Linked DNA regions of Saccharomyces cerevisiae S288C. Changing the gene in region 2 together with the main gene of any one other region gives a genetic interaction. Each region holds a gene or a part of one and is shown on either strand. Other genes may lie near its edges.

Region 1 (6,829 bases), on a different chromosome or scaffold from region 2:
CGTAGCGGTGGATCTCGCTCTGGCATCAACAGATCGGAGATAAAAAAATACATTGAAGCTTGGTCCAAATTTGATACTGATGGAACTGGCGAGCTTGAGCTGTCCTACCTCCCAAGAATAATGCATTCATTTGACGGTCCTCTTTCATTTAAAATTTGGGAAGGTAGATTGACAATAAAAAGTCTAGTCGAGAACTACATGGAGGTTAACCCAGATGATCCATATGACGTCAAAATAGACCTGATCGGACTGAACAAAGAGCTGAATACGATTGATAAAGCAAAGATCATACAGAGGAAGTTACAGTACAGAAGATTTGTACAAAGCATTCACTATACGAATGCTTATAATGGATGTATCAGATTCTCGGATTTGTTATTACAAATACCTCTCTATACAGCTTATTCTGCAAGGGAATGTCTAGGTATTGATCAATATGTCCATCATCTATATATCCTGGGTAAAGTGGACAAGTACTTAGAAAATCAAAGAAACTTCGATGTATTGGAGATGGTGGTAACAAGATGGAAATTTCATTGCAGGATGAAACGTACCATTGAACCCGAATGGGATGTTAAAGATCCCACAGTATCGTCTCACATTTCGAATATAAACGTAAATCTGGAACCTGCTCCAGGAATTTTAGAAAGAGAACCTATTGCGACACCTAGAATGGACTACGGTGTTAACAATTTTATGTGGTCTCCGAGAATGAATCAAGACTCTACGATGGAGCCCCCGGAAGAACCAATAGATAATAATGACGATAGCGCAAATGATCTAATTGATAGATAAATTATATAAGGGCATATTTAAGAGGCTTTATAGATGTAAAAATGAACAATAAGAATAATTTAAATTTGTTTTATTGAGAGGTGATTTTCTAGAGCATGTCAAACTTTACTATTCAGGGAAAAAAGAAAAGAAAAAAATGCGCAAGCCCGGAATCGAACCGGGGGCCCAACGATGGCAACGTTGGATTTTACCACTAAACCACTTGCGCTTACTGATTATATCTTAATGGTTGAAGAGATCTGAATAAGTTTTATCTTCCTCTGGGCAAAGAATACTATACATTGCAAGAGTACCCATTAGAAGGGAATTAATTTATGCACTCTAAATCTTTTTTGATTATTCCGGATATTATTTTTGTTGATAATTAGAGGTAAAAAATAGTATTAATGAAGAAATAAGTATTGATCTTCTTATACTAAATAAGAGAGGTATATAAAACACACGCCGATTGGTCATATTAATCATGACCAATATAATAGTGATTCCGGTAGTTACTATACATTGATGTGACGACTCATATTCCTCATATATGTACCTACCATATCATGTTCAACTAATAGATTTTAAGCACAGCTTCAGTATTGTCTCAGCTTCTCGTTTAACATTCCTTCTGCAATAGGTGCAATCACACTTAAACGTATACGAGGTGTACATTAATATACGATGTAAGCATTATATTGTTACCATAGCAACTCATGTCACTATTAATTACTCTCGTTCCAACAATTTTGTATTTGAAGCTTTAACGGGTGTTAAATGCACAGCCGATACGGCTCATCCGAAAAGTAACGCCAATTATATTAACAGCTTTTCCATTTATTTAGAATGGCGATACAACGGAAACATACGAATATGATAGTACTCAATTGTTGTGTTGGAATAAAAATCCACTATCGTCTATCAACTAATAGTTATATTATCAATATATTATCATATACGGTGTTAAGATGATGACATAAGTTATGAGAAGCTGTCATCGATGTTAGAGGAAGCTGAAGTGCAAGGATTGATAATATAATAGGATAATGAAACATATAAAACGGAATGAGGAATAATCGTAATATTAGTATGTAGAAATATAGATTCCATTTTGAGGATTCCTATATCCTCGAGGAGAACTTCTAGTATATTCTGTATACCTAATATTATAGCCTTTATCAACAATGGAATCCCAACAATTATCTCATCATTTACCCATTTCTCATGTTGTGTACACATTATATACCTCCCAGTTACTGTCAATCCTCTCCTCTTATATCGTTTCAATACAAATAATATATTATGAAGGGCAATATTACATCATTACCCGGAGATATATACTATTTGGAATGATCTTTCTTTATAAGAAAAAAAAAGAATTTCGCAGATTTCCCTGGCTTTCCTTATTCTTCCTACGTTAGCATTATTATGAATTATCGCTAATAGCAAAGGCAAAAAAGATTATCAACTGCAGGATATTCGGTCACAACTTTGACATAGATCTTGAGAACCTCAACACTATTCATTTCTCTGGCCTGATTATTTTAAGTAAAGTCAATCATTGTTAAGTTTTCTTTTGTTCTTTTCTATCATTCTCGCTCTTTCAATTACTTACACCTACAATAATAGACGTTGACCTGTGAAAGGCAAGAAACTTAACTAATAGTATAATTAAGAAGAAGTTAACATTTTACTCTACATTATTGAAACCGCTCACTGACTTCAAAAATAGGATAAAAACATAATATGGAAGGAATTTTGGATTTTTCTAACGACTTAGATATCGCTCTATTAGATCAGGTGGTATCTACATTCTATCAAGGTTCAGGTGTTCAGCAAAAGCAAGCCCAAGAGATTTTGACTAAATTTCAAGATAATCCAGACGCTTGGCAAAAAGCTGACCAAATTCTTCAATTCTCAACTAACCCTCAATCAAAATTTATTGCCCTTTCCATCCTTGATAAATTAATTACTAGAAAATGGAAATTGTTGCCGAATGATCATAGAATTGGAATTAGGAACTTCGTTGTTGGTATGATTATCTCCATGTGCCAAGACGATGAAGTATTTAAAACACAAAAGAACCTGATCAATAAGTCGGACTTGACTTTGGTCCAAATTTTAAAGCAGGAATGGCCTCAGAATTGGCCTGAATTTATCCCAGAACTAATCGGCAGTTCAAGTTCCTCTGTTAATGTTTGTGAAAATAACATGATCGTTTTGAAACTGCTATCCGAAGAAGTCTTCGATTTCTCTGCGGAACAAATGACACAAGCTAAAGCTTTACATTTGAAAAATTCCATGTCAAAAGAATTTGAACAGATTTTTAAATTATGTTTTCAAGTTTTGGAACAAGGTTCTTCAAGCTCTCTAATAGTGGCAACCTTAGAATCTTTACTGAGATATTTACATTGGATTCCTTATCGTTATATTTATGAAACCAATATTTTGGAATTATTAAGCACCAAATTCATGACATCGCCTGATACAAGAGCCATCACATTGAAATGTTTGACTGAGGTTTCAAATCTAAAAATTCCACAAGATAATGATTTGATAAAAAGACAAACTGTACTTTTTTTCCAAAATACTCTACAACAAATTGCCACAAGTGTGATGCCCGTGACTGCCGATCTGAAAGCCACTTATGCAAATGCTAACGGTAATGATCAATCTTTCTTACAAGATTTAGCAATGTTTCTAACTACATATCTCGCTCGTAATAGGGCCCTTCTAGAGAGTGATGAATCGTTAAGAGAGTTGTTGTTGAATGCGCACCAATACTTAATTCAATTATCCAAAATCGAAGAAAGAGAACTATTTAAGACGACATTGGATTACTGGCATAATTTAGTAGCAGATTTGTTTTATGAGGTTCAGCGTTTGCCTGCTACCGAAATGAGCCCATTGATACAGTTATCAGTCGGTTCACAAGCTATCTCAACTGGATCTGGCGCCCTAAATCCGGAATATATGAAAAGATTTCCATTAAAAAAACATATTTACGAAGAAATTTGTTCACAGTTGAGATTGGTCATTATTGAAAATATGGTTAGACCAGAAGAAGTCCTTGTGGTTGAAAATGATGAAGGAGAAATTGTTAGAGAGTTCGTTAAAGAATCAGACACTATCCAATTATACAAATCAGAAAGAGAGGTTCTTGTATATTTGACCCATTTGAATGTTATCGATACAGAAGAAATCATGATCAGTAAATTGGCAAGGCAAATCGATGGTTCCGAATGGTCATGGCATAATATCAACACTTTATCTTGGGCTATTGGTTCCATATCTGGTACAATGAGCGAAGATACTGAAAAAAGGTTTGTAGTTACTGTTATTAAAGATTTACTAGATTTAACGGTCAAGAAAAGGGGTAAAGATAATAAAGCTGTTGTTGCATCGGATATTATGTACGTCGTGGGCCAATATCCTAGATTTTTGAAGGCTCACTGGAATTTTCTAAGAACAGTTATTTTGAAACTTTTTGAATTTATGCATGAAACTCATGAGGGTGTTCAGGATATGGCATGTGACACATTCATTAAGATTGTTCAAAAATGTAAATATCATTTTGTTATTCAACAACCCCGTGAGTCTGAGCCTTTCATCCAAACAATAATTAGGGATATTCAAAAGACAACTGCTGACCTACAGCCGCAACAGGTCCATACATTTTACAAGGCTTGTGGTATTATTATTTCTGAAGAAAGAAGCGTAGCGGAGAGAAATAGATTATTAAGTGATTTGATGCAACTGCCAAATATGGCTTGGGACACTATAGTGGAACAATCCACTGCTAACCCAACATTGTTGTTAGATTCTGAAACTGTCAAAATTATTGCGAATATTATAAAAACCAATGTAGCTGTCTGCACCTCAATGGGAGCAGATTTCTATCCACAGTTGGGTCACATCTATTACAATATGCTTCAGCTATACAGAGCTGTTTCTTCGATGATTTCTGCTCAAGTTGCCGCAGAAGGTCTAATTGCTACGAAGACACCAAAGGTTCGTGGTTTGAGAACCATCAAAAAAGAGATTCTGAAGCTTGTTGAGACCTATATATCCAAGGCGAGAAATTTGGATGATGTCGTTAAAGTGTTAGTTGAGCCATTATTGAACGCTGTACTTGAAGACTATATGAACAACGTTCCTGATGCAAGGGACGCCGAAGTGCTAAATTGTATGACAACAGTAGTAGAAAAGGTTGGTCATATGATCCCACAAGGTGTTATTTTAATTTTACAGAGTGTATTTGAATGCACTTTGGACATGATTAACAAAGACTTCACAGAATATCCAGAGCATCGTGTAGAATTTTACAAGTTATTGAAGGTCATCAATGAGAAATCATTTGCTGCATTTTTGGAACTACCTCCGGCTGCCTTTAAATTGTTTGTTGACGCTATTTGTTGGGCGTTCAAACATAACAATAGAGATGTCGAAGTTAATGGTCTACAGATTGCATTAGACCTAGTGAAAAACATTGAAAGAATGGGAAATGTCCCATTTGCAAATGAGTTCCACAAGAATTATTTTTTCATTTTTGTCAGTGAAACGTTTTTTGTTTTAACCGATTCCGACCACAAATCCGGTTTTTCTAAGCAAGCTTTGTTACTAATGAAGTTGATTTCTTTGGTTTATGATAACAAGATTTCGGTACCATTATATCAAGAAGCTGAGGTACCACAAGGAACTTCAAATCAAGTCTACTTAAGCCAATATTTGGCTAATATGTTAAGTAATGCATTCCCCCATTTAACATCCGAACAAATCGCAAGTTTTCTCTCTGCATTAACTAAACAATACAAAGACTTAGTGGTCTTCAAAGGCACTTTGAGGGACTTTTTGGTGCAAATCAAAGAAGTCGGAGGTGATCCAACAGATTATTTGTTTGCTGAAGATAAAGAGAATGCATTAATGGAACAGAATAGACTAGAGAGGGAAAAAGCTGCCAAGATTGGTGGGTTATTAAAACCTTCCGAACTTGATGATTAGAGGCGGTGGCGTATCATTCTTTAAATTTCCAATATTTTTTCCCTTTTATTAACTAGTCTCTAATTTATAACCACGGGGTTTTCATTTCTTTTTCACTTCATATTGTATGTAAATTGGTTCTTCAAAGTTCCAATACTCTAATATAGTACTAAATACTATTTAGCCAACTTCATGGAAAAGTAAAGAATATTATTTGAAGATTCTTAAGTGATTACCCATTTTATTGTTATTATTGATGTATGTACATGATTGTAGTAAAATACTTATACGCCTTATGCTCAAGTTTTTTTGATTGCATCTTGAATTTTAACGAAACTGTTTTTGGGCCCAGCCACAGAGCCTTTAACCCAAATAACATTATTTTCATCGTCGACTTTCAAAACTTTAACATTTTGGATAGTAACATGCTCGTTTCCCATATGACCAGGCATCTTTCTTCCTGGCAGTACCCTACCTGGGTCTTGGTTTTGACCATAAGAACCACCGTGTCTATGCATAATAGATGTACCATGAGATGCTCTCAAACCCTTGAATCCATACCTTTTCATCACACCAGTAAAACCTTTGCCTTTGCTGACTGATCTGACGTCAACATATTGGCCTTCTTTGAAAAAAGAGGGTTTCAATAATGTGCCAGGTGGTATTAATCCCTTTTCATCTTTAACTCGGAATTCGGCCACATGCTCTTTTGGGTTAACAACTTTAGAAGCGAAATGACCAAGCATTTGTCTGCTAACTTTAGACAAATGCCTTGATCCGTACCCTACTTGACACGCGAAGTACCCATTGACCTCCGAAGTTCTATGCATTATTACTTCAACATTATTAACTTCTAATATAGTAGCGGCGCTTCTTTCACCAGTAGATTTATCAAAATAAGGCATCATTCCCTTCTTACGAGTAATTAAACCGCATCTTTTTGGTAGCCATTTTCTCGCATTTGCCAGTTCAGGTGAGTGATTAATCGCTGGAGCCTCGGTTGTTATACTGTTAGCAATACTAGGAGCCACTAGAAAAGGCCGAGTAGAAGAATATCTAACATGAAGTTTTGATA
Region 2 (5,428 bases):
AGCGTATACCTTACCTTGTTGTTAAAGGAAAGCAAGGACAACTGCTTCGGGAAAGATGCGTATCACCAGAAGAGTTCTTAGAAGGTGAGAATTTAGAGTTAGATTCGGAGTATTATATAAACAAAATTCTGATACCTCCTCTTGATAGATTGTTCAATTTGATTGGTATAAATGTTGGCAACTGGGCTCAGGAAATAGTAAAATCCAAAAGGGCGAGCACAACTACTACAAAAGTGGAAAACATAACAAGAGTAGGAACTTCTGCAACATGTTGTAATTGTGGTGAAGAATTGACTAAAATATGTTCACTTCAGTTATGTGATGACTGTTTAGAGAAAAGAAGCACCACAACCTTATCATTTCTCATAAAGAAATTAAAGAGACAAAAAGAATACCAAACACTAAAGACCGTGTGCAGGACGTGCAGTTATCGTTACACTTCCGATGCAGGCATCGAAAATGACCATATAGCTAGTAAATGCAATTCATATGACTGTCCAGTATTTTACTCTCGTGTCAAAGCAGAAAGATACTTGAGAGATAATCAATCTGTTCAAAGGGAAGAAGCATTAATATCTCTAAATGATTGGTAATCTAGACACAGATATGTCTCGCAAAATGATGAGTAGTTATTTGTTTCTATGTATAACGTTGTTATATACAAGAAAGAAAAAAATCATTTCTTTGATTCTTGACGTTGAGATAGACGGTATCTATAATATGCAAAAAAGGAGGCCAGCAATGCTGAGAGTGAAATAAGGAATCTCTTTGAATTAGTGAAAGACTTTTGAGGAATCTTCGTATCCTCTAAGAGTGGATTGCTACTTTGAAAAACTACAATTTTATTATTATCGTATAAGTTCCCCACACATTTCCAACCTTTTAATTCGATCTCATTAATTTCGTTCAAAACTCTATCTGGTGGGGACCCAGATGCATTAATAACGCCAAATAAGTCCGTAAAATTGATGTTAAAGACACTGTGATCAAAGTTGTTTGACAGGGTCATATCCTTATTGTTTTCTAATGAGTGTAACAATATGTTATTCCCTTGAAGTACTTTTTTAGTAGTTTTACTCTTTTTTCCTCCTCCGTTTGAACCTAAAAATACACTTATTCCATTTTGTAAACGTTTCCATAAGCGATTGGGTTCCCTTTTGAATAAGATATTTCCAGCTGATAAGGGTACTATTTCGGAGAAGGATTGAGTATTCCATTGATATATACGAGCTTGATTCTTTTTTTGTTTATCGATGGCACTTTTTTGACGTGCCTTCTTTTCAATATTTTGTAGATAGCGTTTTAGGGAGTTTATATCGATATCTACGTGGTTTTGTTGCGAGGCACCCACTGAAGTCCTGCTTTCCTCATTTTTCTGTAAGTAAAGTGATATTTTCTGATAAACCTCCTCATCATTACACATATCTAAGTTCAAAGAGTGTAGAAGTTCCTTAATATGCATCTTCCTGCTCGGGTGAAGATCCATATTCTCTGCTTTTCGATTTCTTAGTTCAACTTTCTTCTTTTCTTCCTGCGGTGTTATGTCTCGAGGAATAGCAACATTGACAGGACCGGCTGCCAGGTTCATTCCTTCTAATATGTCTTTGTCTGTTAATCGATGTGTTAGTAATAATTTGTTAAGAATTTGCACGTTAGTTTGGAGAGGATTTATCGCGTTCTTCTTACCTTCTCCTTTATATCCGCGCACTAGACTTGTTATGAGATTAATTTCCATTGCAGAAAACTTGGTCTTACCTTTGCCCATGGCAGACTGGTATATTGTGTTTTTGAAGGCCTTTATACGCACTGAATCAGGAGTTTTTGAGTCAAATATATTAAATACATTCCGTCCTCCAAATTTTGCACCTCCACTTCTTGCATGAGATACTGTTCGTACGCAATTCATGCCCATGTTGAATGCCAAGCACTTCATTTTTTTCAGCGATGCAGATGTGTATAAAACTGTCATTTTGAACAGTACTTCCTCCTTCCTTTAAGTTGAATGGAACCAAGTTTATTCCACCAAAGCTCAGAAAAGAAGCAAAGAACAGAAAATTTCTACGAATATTAATTCTGAAGAAACTTAAACGCGGCTTCAAAAGCTAGAAATCCATGCCCACTTGCCTTTCGTAGAGGATTCTAACGATAAATATACCTACAGATTATACTGTTATATAAGATCATCATTACCCGTCTTCCTTTTTTTTCCAGAAGAAAATTTCAGTAAGAGCTGAATTGAGTATGTAGAAAAAAAAATAGTAACAGACTGTTGAAGACATACTTACTCTAAGAAGGAAGAGTAAAATAAATCGTTAAAAATTCTGCATCGCTAATAGCAGCAAAAAAAATGAGCGGATTTCACAATGTTGGAAATATCAATATGATGGCTCAACAGCAGATGCAACAAAATAGAATAAAGATTAGCGTGAGGAACTGGCAGAATGCAACCATGAACGATTTGATTAATTTTATAAGCCGCAACGCTCGAGTAGCTGTTTATGACGCTCATGTGGAAGGACCTTTAGTTATTGGATATGTCAACTCAAAGGCAGAAGCAGAATCGTTAATGAAATGGAACGGTGTCCGGTTTGCAGGCAGTAATTTAAAGTTCGAACTTTTAGATAACAATGGGGCCTCTGCGGGAACTTCAGACACCATTTCGTTCTTGAGGGGGGTGCTCCTTAAGAGGTATGACCCACAAACAAAATTACTAAATTTGGGCGCTTTACATTCAGATCCCGAGCTAATTCAAAAGGGCGTCTTTAGTTCCATCTCCACCCAGTCTAAGATGTTTCCAGCAATGATGAAACTGGCTTCTACAGAAAAAAGTTTGATAGTGGAAAGTGTCAATCTTGCTGACAACCAACTTAAGGACATCTCAGCAATTTCCACATTGGCTCAAACATTTCCTAATTTGAAAAACCTCTGTCTGGCCAACAATCAGATTTTTAGATTTAGATCGCTAGAAGTTTGGAAGAACAAATTCAAAGATCTAAGAGAGCTTTTGATGACAAATAACCCGATAACCACCGATAAGTTGTATCGCACTGAAATGTTAAGATTATTTCCGAAATTGGTTGTACTAGATAACGTGATTGTGAGAGACGAACAAAAATTGCAAACCGTTTACTCATTACCGATGAAGATTCAACAGTTTTTTTTCGAAAACGATGCATTAGGGCAATCATCTACAGACTTTGCAACTAACTTTTTGAATCTATGGGATAATAATAGAGAACAACTGTTAAATTTGTATTCGCCCCAATCCCAGTTTTCTGTTTCCGTGGATTCTACTATTCCTCCATCTACGGTAACAGATTCGGACCAAACTCCAGCATTTGGTTATTACATGTCGTCCTCACGTAATATATCCAAAGTGTCCAGTGAAAAATCTATCCAGCAGAGATTGTCAATCGGGCAAGAGTCCATTAATAGTATATTCAAGACTTTGCCGAAAACAAAGCACCATTTACAAGAACAACCCAATGAATACTCAATGGAAACAATTAGTTATCCTCAAATAAATGGGTTCGTTATTACGTTGCACGGATTTTTTGAAGAGACTGGCAAGCCTGAACTGGAATCCAATAAAAAAACGGGGAAAAATAACTATCAAAAGAATAGAAGATACAATCATGGTTACAACTCCACATCAAATAATAAGTTATCCAAAAAATCCTTTGATAGAACCTGGGTAATTGTTCCAATGAATAATAGTGTCATAATCGCATCTGATCTGTTAACTGTAAGAGCGTATTCCACAGGCGCTTGGAAAACTGCATCTATTGCAATAGCACAGCCTCCACAGCAACAGGCCTCGGTCCTACCACAGGTCGCAAGCATGAACCCAAATATAACGACACCACCGCAGCCACAACCTTCAGTGGTACCAGGAGGGATGAGCATTCCCGGCGCACCCCAAGGAGCCATGGTCATGGCTCCCACTTTGCAACTACCTCCAGATGTCCAGTCGCGGCTAAATCCCGTACAACTCGAGCTGCTGAATAAACTACATTTGGAAACGAAATTGAATGCAGAATACACGTTTATGTTGGCCGAGCAAAGTAACTGGAACTATGAAGTTGCCATAAAGGGTTTTCAGAGTAGCATGAATGGCATCCCTAGAGAAGCATTTGTGCAGTTCTAATGATATTGTTCCCTGTTTCAGCCGCACAGTATCACAAAAAATATACAGTTTAAGCTACTGTTTTCGTCACGTTCCGAACAGCAGCATGCTTTGTATATTTTGTACTAATTCATAAATAAGTAATTATTTCTATACAACCGTTATATAGAAGATTTTTTCAAAATATAGATATGTATATGTATACATATATCATCGTCCACCACGCCCCTTCCTTTTTCCCTTTCCTTGGTGTTTGCTATTAATAAATAATGTGCGGAGCTCAATCGTCATACGTTCACGCCAGGCTCCGGAATCAGAGTACCAATGCATGGGTACTTATTCTCAAAATGCTCTTGCCACTCATCCAGTGCGTCAATCTGTTCTTTTGTCAGATCATCTAAGGGATCGATAGGCTGATCCCAATCTTTAATAACGTCCAGATCGAAGGAGTTCAATGCAAGACCACGCGACGCATCATGGCCTGCAAAGTTAGTGTATGGCCCGCTTGGACCGTAAAACTGCCTCCCTCTTGTGCAGTCGTATACTTTGCCCCTAATAGCAATAAATATTTTTTCATCGTCGTGGCCGTTAAATTTGGAAAGCGTCCTAGGAAAGAAATTACCCGCTACTACCGGTTCACTACCTTTATTAGAATCGTTTGTGTTTGAGGCCCCGTTACCTGTGAGCCCGGTTGGATCCTCACTTGTTTTAACACCTCCAAATAACAAGTTTTTAATGAAGGACATTTGTTCTCTATAATATTCCGATGTACGTGTGTGTGGCTGATGAGATTTAGACTGGTTAGACTATTTGACGCGTCTATTATAGCTTACTGCAACAAGAAAATGATCGTTGATATATAAACTCTCAGATGTATATATCGTTCTGGAAACATCGAGCATAATACAATACAATTCAACAAAAATGCGAGAAGGCACTGATGTCTTGTCGTTAAAGAACCAAAAACGCGGACACTACGACCGTCTTATTTCCGGTAGAAAAAGGGTACATACAGTTGAAGGAACGAAGAAAATTAAAATTAGAAAAAAAAGTAAAATAAAACAAGGAAGGTAGGGTAATATGGTCTCGTTTCCTTTGTCGCTCCGCAAATAAAGGAGCTTATTCCCGCACGCTCACATGGTAATTTGCGCCAAATCACGGATGTGGAAAACTGATCACGTGCTTCGATCGCCAACTACTGAGCGTCGTCCCACACTGATCTGGCACAGCTTACCTCGCCTTGAAAATTTTAATCTGTCCTGCTCGTTTGTTGTATATTGCTTCTTCTCAGAATATGCCCGC
Region 3 (3,859 bases), 430 kb from region 2:
GAATACAGGGCTAAAAGAACTAAGAAGGTTGGTATCACTGGTAAGTACGGTGTCCGTTATGGTTCCTCTTTGAGAAGACAAGTCAAGAAGTTGGAAATCCAACAACACGCTAGATACGATTGTTCTTTCTGTGGTAAGAAGACCGTCAAGAGAGGTGCTGCTGGTATTTGGACTTGTTCCTGTTGTAAGAAGACCGTCGCTGGTGGTGCTTACACTGTCTCCACTGCTGCTGCCGCCACCGTTAGATCTACCATCAGAAGATTGAGAGAAATGGTTGAAGCTTGATTTTATTTTAATTATATGTATAAAAATCATAAAACAACTATATAATTAATTATAACTCAAAAACTTTTCCAGTAAATGTCTGTTTTTTGGGCAGGAACAATGGCCAATAGCTCACGTACTGTTCGTGGGGGCCTTAAGCCTGGTATCTAGGCTCTGATTTCCAGAAGAAAGTGACATCGATGAATGCACTCAAGAGATTTTATGTGTTGTGAATATGTATATATTTATTTAGAAAAAAAAAAAAAAAAAAAAACCAAAATCATATACCTTAGGCATCCCGTTTCCCTCTTCATCATTTTTGTCCCTTTATATCAATTTTTTTAGACTTCATATAATTTTGTATCAACTGTACCCTACATCCCTTGGTATTCAAAATCTTGATATTACTACTTTTGCCATTACTGTCAGTGATTTGTTTGTTTAATATGAACTCCGTCAAGTTTTGCTCATTCAAGAAATTTGTTGTCTCTTCTATACTGTTGAAATTAAACTCACTTTTAACAAAATCTAAATTGACCTGGTTATAACTCTTACAAATTATGGTCAAAAATATCAACTTTTCTAGATTTAAGAATGAATTAATTAGACATTTTTCAAATTTGTGCAGTTTTAGGTAGTTTTTCATGAAGTAGTGATAATTGCCGACTAGTTTCATATCGCTCAACTCAAATATCATTTTGACATGTTCGTCCTCCAAGATTTCCGAAGAGCCATCGTCTATTAACTTAAGTTTTAAATGAGAAATCGACGGATAGTCTTCGGTTAACATCGAATACAAAACAGAATAGCATATAAATTCGGAATAAGATTTTTTTGGTATTGTAGGGTTTTCGAATAACGCCATAATCCTATTTTGACATTGATTAAATTCCCCAAGATCTCCGTTCTCCAAGGCAATACGTGCATGCGTTTGGTACACTTTAATAGTGAAAGAGTTCTCGATCATTTGCACTCTTAGGTCTTGTCTCATTGATTTAAACTGGTCGCAAAGGTAAGTATAAGTGGCTGTTTTAGATTGGTATTTGTCCATTAACAAGCAATACATTTTTTGTAGAATATTTGGGGGTCTGATCAAGTCAGGATTAGGCTCTGAAGTTAGTCTCAGATAAGATTTCTCTAGAGTTTGGCAACGCCCTACCACATGAATCTTTTTGTCATATTGATGAGATTTGCTACTAATGGCATTTAGGTTGGCAAAGTCTTCATTCAAATTATCGTTACTATTCGTCGTCGCTGATGGTCCCTGACTGAATCTTTCTGCCCTTCTCTTTCTTCTCTCTAATTCATCACTGCCACCCATTTCAACTTTCCATCCCGATGCCGAACCTACAGCACCATGCCCTACTATATTACTGTTGCTCATTACATTGCCGGATACCCCGTTAGAAAGGGCTGATGCCTTCTTAGATACTCTTGGTAATTTCTTTTTAATGTTTTTGTTCATACGTTTTTGTAATCCCGGAAGCGGTGTTACCATCAAAGGGTTAGAAACCTGGTTGACGTTGTTCCAAGATAAACGTGGTTCTGGCAAAGGCAGAGAAGGTTGTTGATTGGCAATGAAATTATTATTATTGTATGTCAGAGAAGGGAAAGATCCGGCGTAATCTAGGGGCCTATTCAGGCTTTGGCCGAATGGTCCTCCTTGAGATGAAGCTTCCCTGTCCTCCGTGGTATTGTTAGTAAAGTGACCGTAAGGATTCTGCATAATGTTATTGGAAACTCAACTACTCGCTGCCGAACGGTTCCTACTCCTTGTATTCTATGGTTTCTTTACGAGACAGCCAAATCTCTATTTTTTGTCATGTTCAGTCCTTTTTTACTCAAAAATTCCAAACCGTGAAGGATGATGCATGTTGACAATAAATGATAGCCGTCATCACATACAGTGTGCAATATCTAGATACTTCTAACCATTTCTTCCTGTCGTGGGGAGTTCATACCATTTTGACAGATGACAAACAGTAGTGAAAAACAATGGGAAAGAATCCAGCAATTAGAAAAGGAGCACGTGGAGGTATATAGAGAGTTGTTGATCACGTTGGACAGGTTGTACTTGATTAGAAAACACAATCATGCGGTAATATTAAGCCATACTCAACAGCGCCTCTTGGAAATTAGACACCAACTTCAAATTAATCTTGAAAAGACTGCTCTTCTTATTAGACTGTTGGAGAAACCGGACAATACCAATGTATTATTCACCAAGCTACAAAACCTCTTAGAAGAAAGCAATTCTCTGGACTATGAGCTCTTGCAATCGTTAGGTGCTCAATCTTCATTGCACAAACAGTTGATTGAATCAAGAGCAGAACGCGACGAATTGATGTCAAAACTGATTGAGTTATCGTCGAAGTTTCCCAAACCAACTATACCGCCAGACGACAGTGATACTGCTGGAAAACAGGTTGAGGTAGAAAAGGAAAATGAAACGATACAAGAATTGATGATTGCTTTACAGATACACTCCGGATATACAAACATATCCTACACAATTTGATTTTTATCTTCTAATGCTATTTATATATTCAAATAATTTTAATACTGACAACGCTAATAATAATAGTTACTTAATTAAGGTTTGAATCTTCGAGAAAAAAAAAAGGTAGGAAAATTAAGGAACTACTCACAAATTCAGAGAGAGAGAAGGGATAAAAAAATATCTGCCAATGGAGGTAACTTCAATGTTTCTCAATAGAATGATGAAGACCAGGACTGGTCTTTATCGCTTATATTCAACCCTTAAAGTTCCACATGTAGAAATCAATGGCATAAAATACAAGACCGACCCACAGACTACCAATGTTACAGATTCAATAATAAAGCTTACCGACAGATCATTACATTTGAAAGAATCACATCCAGTAGGCATTCTTCGCGATCTAATTGAAAAGAAATTAAACTCAGTCGACAACACATTTAAGATCTTTAATAATTTCAAGCCCGTGGTAACCACAATGGAAAACTTCGATTCTTTAGGGTTTCCTAAGGATCATCCTGGAAGATCAAAATCTGACACATATTATATAAATGAGACGCACCTACTGAGAACACATACTTCAGCCCACGAATTAGAGTGCTTTCAAAAAATAAGAAACGATTCAGATAATATTAAAAGTGGATTTTTAATATCTGCAGATGTGTACAGAAGAGATGAAATTGACAAAACTCACTATCCGGTATTCCACCAAATGGAAGGAGCCACAATTTGGAAACGAACGAAGGCTGATGTGGGCGTAAAGGAGCCAATGTATATCGAGAAAATCCGTGAAGATATCAGACAGGTAGAGAACCTTTTAAATAAAGAAAATGTAAAGATTACGGTTGACGATGATACTATACCTTTGAAAGAAAATAATCCTAAACAAGAGTATATGTCCGATCTGGAGGTTGATTTGTGCTCTCAACATTTGAAGAGGTCCATTGAACTGATAGTTTCTGAAGTTTTTAACAAAAAAATATCTAGCATGATCAAGAACAAAGCGAATAATACACCCAAAGAGCTAAAAGTCCGTTGGATTAACGCTTACTTCCCCTGGACCGCGCCCTCATGGGAAATAGAGGTTTGGTGGCAGGG
Region 4 (2,845 bases), on a different chromosome or scaffold from region 2:
TCATATGTACATTTATCGAGCCAATCGAGGGCAGCAGTTTAACATCAAGCCGGATTTGCTCACGCTACTTTGACCCCTTTTCGTTTCGACGGAGAGAAGAAACCGGTGTTTTCCTATCCTTGCCTATTCTTTCCTCCTTACGGGGTCCTAGCCTGTTTCTCTTGATATGATAATAGGTGGAAACGTAGAAAAAAAAATCGACATATAAAAGTGGGGCAGATACTTCGTGTGACAATGGCCAATTCAAGCCCTTTGGGCAGATGTTGCCCTTCTTCTTTCTTAAAAAGTCTTAGTACGATTGACCAAGTCAGAAAAAAAAAAAAAAAGGAACTAAAAAAAGTTTTAATTAATTATGAGAGCTTTGGCATATTTCAAGAAGGGTGATATTCACTTCACTAATGATATCCCTAGGCCAGAAATCCAAACCGACGATGAGGTTATTATCGACGTCTCTTGGTGTGGGATTTGTGGCTCGGATCTTCACGAGTACTTGGATGGTCCAATCTTCATGCCTAAAGATGGAGAGTGCCATAAATTATCCAACGCTGCTTTACCTCTGGCAATGGGCCATGAGATGTCAGGAATTGTTTCCAAGGTTGGTCCTAAAGTGACAAAGGTGAAGGTTGGCGACCACGTGGTCGTTGATGCTGCCAGCAGTTGTGCGGACCTGCATTGCTGGCCACACTCCAAATTTTACAATTCCAAACCATGTGATGCTTGTCAGAGGGGCAGTGAAAATCTATGTACCCACGCCGGTTTTGTAGGACTAGGTGTGATCAGTGGTGGCTTTGCTGAACAAGTCGTAGTCTCTCAACATCACATTATCCCGGTTCCAAAGGAAATTCCTCTAGATGTGGCTGCTTTAGTTGAGCCTCTTTCTGTCACCTGGCATGCTGTTAAGATTTCTGGTTTCAAAAAAGGCAGTTCAGCCTTGGTTCTTGGTGCAGGTCCCATTGGGTTGTGTACCATTTTGGTACTTAAGGGAATGGGGGCTAGTAAAATTGTAGTGTCTGAAATTGCAGAGAGAAGAATAGAAATGGCCAAGAAACTGGGCGTTGAGGTGTTCAATCCCTCCAAGCACGGTCATAAATCTATAGAGATACTACGTGGTTTGACCAAGAGCCATGATGGGTTTGATTACAGTTATGATTGTTCTGGTATTCAAGTTACTTTCGAAACCTCTTTGAAGGCATTAACATTCAAGGGGACAGCCACCAACATTGCAGTTTGGGGTCCAAAACCTGTCCCATTCCAACCAATGGATGTGACTCTCCAAGAGAAAGTTATGACTGGTTCGATCGGCTATGTTGTCGAAGACTTCGAAGAAGTTGTTCGTGCCATCCACAACGGAGACATCGCCATGGAAGATTGTAAGCAACTAATCACTGGTAAGCAAAGGATTGAGGACGGTTGGGAAAAGGGATTCCAAGAGTTGATGGATCACAAGGAATCCAACGTTAAGATTCTATTGACGCCTAACAATCACGGTGAAATGAAGTAATGACAAAATAATATTTGGGGCCCCTCGCGGCTCATTTGTAGTATCTAAGATTATGTATTTTCTTTTATAATATTTGTTGTTATGAAACAGACAGAAGTAAGTTTCTGCGACTATATTATTTTTTTTTTTCTTCTTTTTTTTTCCTTTATTCAACTTGGCGATGAGCTGAAAATTTTTTTGGTTAAGGACCCTTTAGAAGTATTGAATGTGGGAACAAAGACGACAAAAGGTAGTTTTTTCCTTGACTATACTGGTAAGATATCGTCTAAAACAAAGCATGGCCAAGAAAATATCAAAGAATTCAAGAGCTGCTAGACAATCGGATGCTCTTGAACCAGAGGTAAAGGATTTAAGTGAACTACCTAGAGCTGAAAAAACCGATTTGACTAATATTTTGATTAGAACAGCAGCCAAGAATGAGGCATTGCTGGAAGCAAAGATATCTAAGAAAGCCAATAAAAGTAAGAGGGGCAAGAAGTTAAATAAAAAGGCTCTGGAAGACAAACTGGCCAACTCTATTTCATCCATGGACAGGGATCGTTTAGTGAAGGCCTTGAATTTTACCAATCGTCTGGACGGTAAAATTGCCAAGTCCATTTCTCGTGCCAAGTACATTCAAAATACAAGAAAGGCTGGCTGGGATAGCACCAATGAGACTATAAAAAAAGAGCTGGCTTTTTTGAACGGAGGGTTGTCTGTGCAGGCAAAAAGTGCTAGTGAAGGTAATGCTGAAAAGGAAGATGAGGAGATCCCAGAAGTTTTTGACTCTTTAGCAGAGGATAACACAGTGCAGAAGACTCCTACAAATAGATTCGGTGTCCTGCCAGACGATGTTGAAGAATAGAAAATTTTCATATGAAAGGTCCTAGGAATACACGATTCTTGTACGCATTCTTCTTTTTTCTATCTTCTTTCATTCTTTGTACATTAGATAACATGGTTTTAGCTTAGTTTTATTTTATTTTTTATATATCTGGATGTATACTATTATTGAAAAACTTCATTAATAGTTACAACTTTTTCAATATCAAGTTGATTAAGAAAAAGAAAATTATTATGGGTTAGCTGAAAACCGTGTGATGCATGTCGTTTAAGGATTGTGTAAAAAAGTGAACGGCAACGCATTTCTAATATAGATAACGGCCACACAAAGTAGTACTATGAAATTTTCTGCGTATTTATGGTGGCTGTTTTTGAATCTAGCGTTGGTGAAAGGCACTTCATTGCTATCCAACGTTACATTAGCGGAAGATTCTTTCTGGGAGCATTTTCAGGCTTACACTAATACAAAGCATTTAAACCAAGAGTGGATCACAAGTGAAGCCGTCAACAATGAAGGCTCTA

Evidence for each region.
Region 1: of MEX67 (region 2) and CRM1, changing one enhances a phenotype caused by changing the other (phenotypic enhancement), as found in Saccharomyces cerevisiae (6 studies listed by BioGRID, with this or other methods).
Region 3: mutations in MEX67 (region 2) and MCM16 together harm fitness more than expected from each alone (negative genetic interaction), as found in Saccharomyces cerevisiae (2 studies listed by BioGRID).
Region 4: mutations in MEX67 (region 2) and ECM1 together harm fitness more than expected from each alone (negative genetic interaction), as found in Saccharomyces cerevisiae (3 studies listed by BioGRID, with this or other methods).

Annotation. Positions count from the first base shown.
Region 1 is NC_001139.9:930,021-936,849, forward strand, and holds CRM1 (exportin CRM1), read left to right. Parts: upstream 1-2,520; coding exon 2,521-5,775; downstream 5,776-6,829. Other genes in the region: calcium channel protein CCH1, read left to right, coding at 1-795; mitochondrial 54S ribosomal protein uL3m MRPL9, read right to left, coding at 6,054-6,829. UniProt on the Saccharomyces cerevisiae protein: Receptor for the leucine-rich nuclear export signal (NES).
Region 2 is NC_001148.4:227,758-233,185, reverse strand, and holds MEX67 (Mex67p), read left to right. Parts: upstream 1-2,347; coding exon 2,348-4,147; downstream 4,148-5,428. Other genes in the region: REV3 (DNA-directed DNA polymerase), read left to right, coding at 1-593; MRX4 (Mrx4p), read right to left, coding at 677-1,969; DAP1 (Dap1p), read right to left, coding at 4,414-4,872. UniProt on the Saccharomyces cerevisiae protein: Involved in the export of mRNA from the nucleus to the cytoplasm.
Region 3 is NC_001148.4:654,563-658,421, forward strand, and holds MCM16 (Mcm16p), read left to right. Parts: upstream 1-2,236; coding exon 2,237-2,782; downstream 2,783-3,859. Other genes in the region: 60S ribosomal protein eL43 RPL43A, read left to right, coding at 9-285; THP3 (Thp3p), read right to left, coding at 578-1,990; MSF1 (phenylalanine--tRNA ligase), read left to right, coding at 2,967-3,859. UniProt on the Saccharomyces cerevisiae protein: Component of the kinetochore, a multiprotein complex that assembles on centromeric DNA and attaches chromosomes to spindle microtubules, mediating chromosome segregation and sister chromatid segregation during meiosis and mitosis.
Region 4 is NC_001133.9:34,803-37,647, forward strand, and holds ECM1 (Ecm1p), read left to right. Parts: upstream 1-1,706; coding exon 1,707-2,345; downstream 2,346-2,845. Other genes in the region: BDH1 ((R,R)-butanediol dehydrogenase), read left to right, coding at 353-1,501; CNE1 (calnexin), read left to right, coding at 2,662-2,845. UniProt on the Saccharomyces cerevisiae protein: Pre-ribosomal factor involved in 60S ribosomal protein subunit export from the nucleus.